2 linked regions of the Sus scrofa genome follow. The protein of the gene in region 1 purifies or fractionates together with the protein of each later gene. This does not show direct contact. Links are inferred from orthologs where the notes say so. Each region holds a gene or a part of one and is shown on either strand. Other genes may lie near its edges.

Region 1 (4,272 bases):
TGGGGCCGCACAGAGCTGTTTCCCCTCTTTCAGCTGCTGTTGAATGAACTTCTCATAGCTCTCAGGGTTACTTTCAGCCAGATCATCTAGAAGGTTCCAGAGTTGAGTAACTTGGGTGAGCAGACCTTTTGAGGATTTCTCCATGATTGAGATGAATTAGGCCTCTTAAATCTGTGGAAAGACATTTGAGGGAAAAAAGGTCTACTGATTCATTTATTTTTGGGGGGAGGAGGAATACGTCAGGAATTGTTTTGTTGAAGTTAGCAACTATCCTTAATACCTGTGTCTAAAAGACTGTGGCTCAGCACCATTTTATCTTTTCCTTATTCTCTAATTATCTAGTACCACTTCCTACATTCTCAAGATGTTCCCTCAGATAATAAGGCCTTACCTCTGTCTAGAGCCTCAAAAACCCTAAGGGGACAGAGTAATCTTTTAAAGTTTGGATTTCCTGGAATTTTCTTGTTCCAGTATCCTGGTATTAGCTAAGTGGTGCCTATCCAGTTCCTTTATTTGCTAGAGGTGTGCTGTGGATTGAAGGCTACACAAGACTTCCTCAATCTTTGGTATAATCTAGTAGTTAACAGCATGGACTCTGCAGACAGAATGCATAGAATTCCAGTTTTAGCTCTATCCATCACTTACTAGCTGTGTGATTTGAGCATTTAATTTACATACATGTATCAGTTTATTCCCCTCTAAATGAAGACAATAATACCTATCTCGTAGGGTTATCGTGAGGATTAAGTAAGGTAACACAGAGAGGCTGAACACTTGCTAAGCCTTACATAAGAATAGTAATATTCTCTCCATGACTTGAGGTAACCTTCCTCCCTCCTCCTTCCCCTCAATGGAGACGTGTCCCATAGCATCGACAGAATGAGGAAAAGAGTAAGTTTGGGTTGCCTGAACACTACAGGAAGGTTAGACTAAAAGGGAAATGTAACTGTCTTTCCAGAGGTCGGCAAACCCACCTCCTCTCTTGGTTTCCTGACAAACCGCGACGCCTGTTACCGGGGTAACCATCTTGGTACAACATCTAATTGGGTCCGGGAAGCTCCAGGCAGAAAGTTCTTTTTACACCTAGTTCCGGAATCTTCTCCTTCTGGTGCTGGGCTTGCTTTCTGGCTGAGCCCGACCCACTTCTTTTCCAGGAGGGCGCTCACCTCCCTTTCTGCACCTGTTGACCTCTACAGTGTCCTGGAAACCCTCCTGTGGGAGTCTCTGTGACTCCTGTTGGTGGGAAGAATTTCTTAGGGGCACGACTTCCGGCCTGAAAAGGAAGTCGGCTTCCTTCTCCCCCAGATCCCTTCCTCCCCCTGCCCCCGTCACGCGAGGCTGCGGCGCACGGTATGGGTGTGTTTGTGTGTGTTTCTGTGGGGAGGGTGTTTGGAGGGAAGGTTACCGGGAGCTCCGCGGCCGCTGGGGGGCAGGGGTGCCGGTGACGAAGATGGGGGTATTTTCTGTGTCTTCCACTTGGAAGCCTCAATCCCCTCTTCAGCCACTCTAGGTACTTTTTGGGGCCCAGTCGAGGGGCGTCCCCGGCCAAAGCGTCCCCATCCTTTTGGGAAGGCGGAACCCAACCTCGGGGCCGTCCCAGAGGAGCGTGAGCGGGGAGTGCGCTAGCCAACTTGGCCGTCCGGATTCCGAGCCAGAGCAGCCTCCGGCCTCAGTCCGGAGAAAAATCTGCCTGTCGGCCTGGGCTGGGGAGAGGCGGCGGTGGCGAGGCCCACGGGTGAGGGCGGAATAACCGGTGGGAAGGCTGCGTTTTCACGAAGGACTCGGGTGAAGCTGCAGAGCTGCCTTTGAGCCCTGACTCCTTGGCTTCCTGGGTCGGAGGAGATCTTGTAATGGAGTGGTTCTTCGTCTCACACTAACAAGATGCCTGATTTCCTCAGGATCAAGGGGTGAGTGAGCGGTGGGGTGGTTGCACAAAGCCCTTGCTGGCTACACACGTGAATATCCCTGTCCTCTGTTTTTTGGAGGTTTCTGTCCAAAGTAGAATATAAGATACCCTTGAATGGAGAAATTTAGGGCATCTCGGCATTCGATGTTTTTAGACGTCAATTTTTGTTACTGTTGACATTTGTTTCGCTGACATTCTCAAATCTAGGTATTTACTTAATTGCAGACTAATTTTGGGATTCAAAAACTGGTTTCTAATCTAGACCTCGTTTGCCTTGGAATATGTGGCCTGGGGCAAGTTATAGCTTTAAGAGAATTTCACCTACGAAATAGGAATGAAGATACCTGCCTCATCTAAAACAATTACTTTGAGAATTAAATGATGTTCCTCAAAGCACTTAATTTGTGCAGTTTGAAAGAACTCCAGTGGTCATTACCTCCTTTCGTCCTCACATTGGTGTGGTCAGGTGTTTTCCCCTTTAGTGGTGAAGGAAAAACTATTCTGCACGACCTGTGACTTCAGTGATTTTCCCTTTAACTCATGCTTTATTAAAACACAGTAATAAAAATAAGGTAACATAGTGAATTATTATTAAAAGTTACTTATCGATTCATTTCAGATTGAAGAATGTCCCGAGTTCCCTTGGGGAAAGTCCTCCTGAGGAATGTCATCCGGCACACAGATGCTCACAATAAGGTGAGAGGTCCAACCTTGTGATTCCTCTTGCTTAATGAGGGCATACAGTGTGCCGTAAATTATTTTGGTACAGTTGGGAGATACATGATAAATCAAATAGAATTAGAATATAATTTGATAAGTATAATGGAGACATATACAAAGTGCTTTCATGCACTGAGGAAGGAATAATGAAATCTGCCTTGGGGAATTAGGAAAGGCTTCATAGAATGGGTGGTATTTGAGCTTCTGATATTTGAACTGGTTCTTGATGAGCAGGCTCTAGTGTACCAGGTGGAAAACATTATTCAGGGCAGAGGGAAAGTCATGCACTAGCATATACAAGGAGCGTAAAGAACTTGGGGCAAGAGATTGTATGTATCCAGAGAGAAGAGAAGGGGGACCAGGGGCGGGGGGGGGATGGCAGAAGATGAGGTCTGAGTGGTAAATTACAGTTAGATTTTGGTGCTTAGAGATTAGACTTTTTCCTCGAGGCAGAAAAGAAACCATCACATTTTTTGTGTTTGTTTTAATTTGTTATGAGAATTTTTTTTTAAAATGTCTTTTTCTTTTCTTTTTTTGTGTGTTTTTGCCATTTCTTGGGCCGCTCCCGCCACATATGGAGGTTCCCAGGCTAGGGGTTGAATCGGAGCTGTAGCTGCCTGCCTATGCCAGAGCTACAGCAAAGCGGGATCCAAGCTGTGTCTGCAACCTACACCACAGCTCACGGCAATGCCATATCCTTAACCCACTGAGCAAGGCCAGGGATCGAACTTGCAACCTCATGGTTGCTAGTCTGATTTGTTAACCAGTGAGACACGACAGGAACTCCATAAAAATGTCTTTTTCTTTTTACTGCCACAACTGTGCCATGTGGAATTTCCTGGGCTAGGGGTCAGATGGAGCTGCAGCTGCTGGCCTACGCTGCCATAGCAGCACTGGATCCTCAACCCACTGAACAAGGCCAGGGATCAAACTTTCATCCTCAGAGTTCCCGTTGTGGCTCTGATTAACGAATTCGACTGGGAACTATGAGGTTGCGGTTCGATCCCTGGCTTCACTCAGTGACTTAAGGATCTGGTGTTGCCATGAGCTGTGGTGTAGGTCGCAGACGTGGCTTGGATCCCAAGTTGCTGTGGCTGTGGCATAGGCTGGCAGCTGTAGCTCCGATTAGAGCCCCTAGCCTGGGAACCTCCATTTGCTGTGGGTGCAGCCCTAGAAAATACAAAAAAAAAAAAAAGAAAAAACCTTGCATCCTCATGGACACTATGTATGGTTCTTAAGCCACTGAGCCACAATGGGAACTTCTTTAATTTTTTAAAAAAATTTAAAAATTTAAGAAATTTTTAAAAGTATCATTGAGCTACAATGTTGTGTCAGTTTCTGATGTACATCAGTGTTCAGTTTTAGATAAGTGTATTCATATATATTCTTTGTCATATTATTTTCAATTATGGCTATTAAATATGTTAAATATAGTTCCCTGTGTAATATAGGAGGACCTTGTTGTTTATCTGTTTTATATATAGTAGTTTGTATATGCTAATCCCAGACTCCTAATTTAGCCTTTCCCCATTCCCTTTCTCCATTGCTAATCATAAGTTTGTTTTCTGAGGGAGTTCCCATTGTGCCGCAGTGGAAATGAATCCAAATAGGAACCCTAAGTTTGTTTTCTATGTCTGTGAGTCTGT
Region 2 (4,590 bases), on another chromosome or scaffold:
TAATCATATTGAGCACTCAGTATCTGCTAGACACTGTTCTAAGTGTTTTTCATGGTTTATTTTGTCTAATCTGCTCCATAGTCGTGTGAGGTAGGTGCCATTACTGCTTTTATTTTGTAAAATCCACAGCATAGAGAGGTTAAGTTATTGGCCCAAGGTAACACAGCTTGTAAGTAGCAGAGCTGGCATTCAAACACGGAAGGATCTAGCTTCAGAGTTTGTTCTCTTAATTGTATCAAGAAGGAGGAAGCAGGGCCTCACCTAGAAAACAGAATATGAAAAAGGATTGGATTCAAAGCAACCCAGGCTGAGTGATTAAAAAATGTGGGATGGAAAAGCAAGACCAAAGAAAGGCCCAGAACATCAAGGAGAGAAGAGTGTTCAGGGCTAGAAGGCAACCTAATAAAATAGGCCAAAGTTTGGTTGGCCACCCCACCCTCAGTCCATACCCAACTCCTAGCCTGTCCCTTCAAGGCAGGACTCTCACAATTCTCCTGCTCTCTGTCCTCCCAAACCAAACCAAGGTATTTCTATGGTCTCAAAGTGTCTCCACACATTTTGCTTATTAATTACAAAGGGAAAAATAGGAACTTTACAGTGAGTAACTTGGCTGACTCCAACTTAACCAAGTGAGGATATGAACATAAAGAGAGTTCTTAGGGAAGGTTCTGGAAGGATATTTTGGGGAAAATGTAAGATAAGGGTTTTGTGGATGAAGAGAGAAGGGGAAGTCTGGAGGTTCAAGAGTCTGTGGGTGGCAGGGGAGAGTCTATCAGGGAAGATGGGCTGTCTCTGGGAGGGGTGGGGAAATCAGGAGTTGGAGAGGTTCTGAGTGAAAAGAGCAAGTTTCATGAGGGAGGGACTTGATGGGAACAGTTTGGGTGACAAAAGTGTCACAGCAGGGTCGGTATGAGAGGTCTGGTGGTGAAACTCTGGATGACGAAAGGGTAGAGAGCTTTGGGGTAGGGGGTCTCTAGGAGAGTCCTGGAAGAGTAGGCGAGGGGGCAAGGCTCTAGGACAGCAGCCTGTGGGCGGGGAGGCCCTGTGATGAGCGCTTTCTGCCAGACCAAGGATGGGTAGATTTGGAAGGGGATCCTGGAGGGGCGGGGTCAGGGGCGGGACCAGGCCGGCGGGCGGGTCCCCCCGCGCTGCAGGGGGCGCTGTGAGGCTGGGCGGCCCCGGGCCGGGCGTCGGCCGCTCCTAGTGAGCGCGGCCCCTTTTCCGGGTTTCCTCCTCCTCCTTCTTCGCCGCCGCTGCCGCTGCCCCTTTCCCGGCCGGCGGCTGCCGCTGCTGGTGCCGCCGACGCCGCCGCCGCCGCCTCGGGGCCGCGAGCCGAGCGGAGGCCGCCGCGGAGCGCGAGCGCCATCCGCCCCGCCGTCCCGCCGGCAGCTCCAGGGCCCGGCCGGCTTGGCCGGCGCCCCCCGCGCCCCCAGCCCGCCCGCCCCCGCGGGCCCGGCCTGGCGCGGCCGCCCGCCGCTGCGCTCCTCCTCCTCCTCCGGCGGCCCGCGGCCCGCCGCCTCCTCCGCCCGCCGCCCCGCGCCCCCCGTCGCGCCGCCGCCGCCGCCCTCGGCGCCCCGCGACGCCCCCCGGTCCCGCCCGCCATGCCGGGCCCGGCCGCGGGCAGCAGGGCCCGGGTCTACGCCGAGGTGAACAGCCTGAGGAGCCGCGAGTACTGGGACTATGAGTCTCACGTCCCGAGCTGGGGGTAAAGCCGCCGCCGCCCCCCGCCGGGCCCTCTCACTCCCACCCCCGCCCGGCCGTCCCCCCACCCCCCGCGCAAACCGCACTTGTCCCCCGCTGTCTATCTCCTCGCCTGCCCCTTTGCTGGGCCTGCGCTTCTCCGGTCTGGGGTGGGAGGTCCACTCCCCCCACCAGTGCCCTCGTCTTCCTCTCCTCCCTTCCGCTTCTCCCTCCCCGTTGTGCGTACCCCTTACCCCAGGGTATACTTCCTTACAAGTGTAGGGGTCCAGGGACCAGAGCCCGGTGGGAGTAAGGGAGCAGCCTTTCCTTTTACGCTTTGGGGTTTCTATTGGGGTGGGAAGTCAGCAGCTGTCCTCTTGAGCTATTAAAATTCTTTGCTTTTCTATTTTTTTGAAATGAGGATGGGTGGGAGGAAATTTTTTAAGGATGTCCAGATTCGCAAGGCAGGCGGTGTCTACCTTCTGGGTGTGCAATAGAAGGCAGGTGCTGGGCGGAGGGGCACCTCTGGGCCTCCGGGATGGATGCTTTGCTCACCTCTAGATTGAGTCAGACCCGTGCCTTCCACCTTATCTCCCCTAAGTTATGAGGGACCAATTAGGTTAGGAACTGCGTCTAGTGCGAGGAGCCAAGTTTATGTTGTGGCTTTCATTTAGGGAATGAGTTGTGGCATGATGTGTAGACACTTCCAAGTGCTTGATTAATGGAAGCGCCTGGATGGGGTGTGTAGTGGGCATAGGCTTGGTTAATCCTAAGTCCTGCCATTTATATTTGTCGCTCTTGGCTTTCACAGTAATCAAGATGATTACCAGCTGGTTCGAAAACTTGGTCGGGGAAAGTATAGTGAAGTATTTGAGGCCATTAACATCACCAACAACGAGAGAGTGGTTGTAAAAATTCTCAAGGTGAGTGTCTTATGAGCGGCGTTAAAGTTTCTTTTTCACAGGTCAGAAGGATATGAACTATTTCAGCCACATTCTCCAATGAGCAGTTTGAGCTCTCATTTTGCATCTGTTCTGTCTGATGTCCCTCTCCTACTCCTCCCACCTCATTTTCCTGTGAACTTTCAAGAAAATCTGCAGAAATAGGCAGACCTGTTTCAACTCTAAGTGTGATGGTTCAGGAACATGCTTGTTCTGAAATGTAATTAAAGGCTTCCAAAGTGAAACTTCCAAAGGGGCTCCATTTATTAGAAAATAAATAGGCATTCAGAAGCAAAAAGAGCCTTTTCATGAAGATCCTATCAACGCAAAGGCTCCTCAAGTACTGTATATGTTATTCCAGAAAGTTGTAAAAAAGTAGCTTCAAGGATGCATTTGAAACCTGAGTGGAGGGAACCACTCCTGTGGAAAAATGACTTGTTTTTTCCTTCTTGGTGTTAAAAGTTTCAGGTAAGATGGATATAGTGAGCCAGTAGTGCCAGGAAGATTCATTGTTGCTTATCAGCTAGTAAACGTGAAGTTGGGTTGTTTTGAATTAAAGCAAAACAACCTGTCTAGTTTATAGAACCCTGAATTTGTTAAAGATACCTTTTGTCATCTCTTGAAGGAAGGCTTGATCTTGATGAACATGAAGAGTTGGCTAAATTCTCTTCTGAGTAACTGGTTGTGTAGCTTTGATAATGTGTCAAAGGCATATAAAAAATAATTCTTAGACTCTTTTCAATGATCATTGCCTGATCATTTAATGTGCGTGCATGTCATTTAGTGAAATCACGAGAAGACCAAAGAGTTGATTAGTAGGAGCATATAAGCACTTTCACATATACAAGAGTTCCAATGTGGCCATTTTGGAGAGGCTCTGCGAACAAGAATGTAGGATTGAAAAGCTGTTTTTGTGCCTTAAGTAAAGTTGGGGCAGCTGTGTCCCGATTTAAAAAGGGAGGTCAGGCTTCGACTATCAGAAAATCACCTTTCAGAAAAGTGATTGACTCTGTTACTGCTACCATTCTAGCCTTGTGATGAAGAGGCAGGTTTGCAGAGAAATAGGCAAGTTATTTGTGCTGTCAGAAACACTGGGGGGGAGATGTGAGGAATTGATACTGAAGATAGGGAGTTTGACTCTCCTCTTCCCTAAATATGAACTGCTCCTACAAAGTCACGTGGTCTTTATTTTTTTTCTTCACAAATATTTAAAGAAATATTCCCATCAGAGAAGTCACCTGGGAAACCATACAGTTTTTTTCTGTTAAACATTAGCATAAATGTTTTTAATAGAGCTACTTAAAATCTCTCTAGGAAATAAGCAAGGCATAAATTGACATTAGGAGTACCCATATCCCACTGTTGTGCAATCAGAAGAATAAACTGCTGACTCTAAAGCAATTCCAGAAAAATGTCTAAACTTTGATGTGATGGTAGCATTTTTAGAGTAAGTATGCAACTTCCTGTGGCGTCTTTTGAAAGGGAACCACATTCAGGTGTGTATATAAGTAATAGTACATTCATTTAGGGAAGTGTCATATTGCCCTTTTGTCATCCTTGTGGAGAACTTCATAGCCTCAGTTGCTGGATAGTTTTCCCCTGCTCTAAAGATTTATAGGATATGTTTAGGGTACCCGATATGGAAACTGAAGGACATTTTTAACCAACCAGAAATTTAGGCACCAAGAAGCATATCTAACGTCACTATGTTGAAATAACCCTTGGCCAGAACTCCTGTTTCCTATTTTTTTCCTCTCTCTTACTGTTTGTTTTAGTGTTAGGTTGTAAGATCTTAACATTGAGCACAGAGTAAGTTCCAGTGTTCTAGAATAAGTCTTGGGAGGCCCCTGTGATGCTCTAGTTAATGAAGTGTTAGTTCTTAGATCTTTTTCACACACGTTCTTTTCAGGGTGCAGCCTGAACCACCTTGTTTCCACTGGTGAAAACTACTCTCAGTCTCCGTTTTTCA

What was found.
Region 2: the proteins of C9H11orf57 (region 1) and CSNK2A2 purify together in Homo sapiens (affinity purification with mass spectrometry; 5 studies listed by BioGRID and IntAct, counting the BioPlex papers as one, with this or other methods). This does not show direct contact. The link is inferred for Sus scrofa from reciprocal best matches to the Homo sapiens genes NKAPD1 and CSNK2A2.

The regions. Positions count from the first base shown.
Region 1 is NC_010451.4:39,774,365-39,778,636, forward strand, and holds the start of C9H11orf57 (uncharacterized protein C11orf57 homolog), read left to right. Parts: upstream 1-1,214; 5' UTR 1,215-1,350; exon of another isoform or gene 1,351-1,907; intron 1,908-2,525; 5' UTR 2,526-2,533; coding exon 2,534-2,602; intron 2,603-4,272.
Region 2 is NC_010448.4:20,013,736-20,018,325, reverse strand, and holds the start of CSNK2A2 (casein kinase II subunit alpha'), read left to right. Parts: upstream 1-1,601; coding exon 1,602-1,705; intron 1,706-2,491; coding exon 2,492-2,603; intron 2,604-4,590.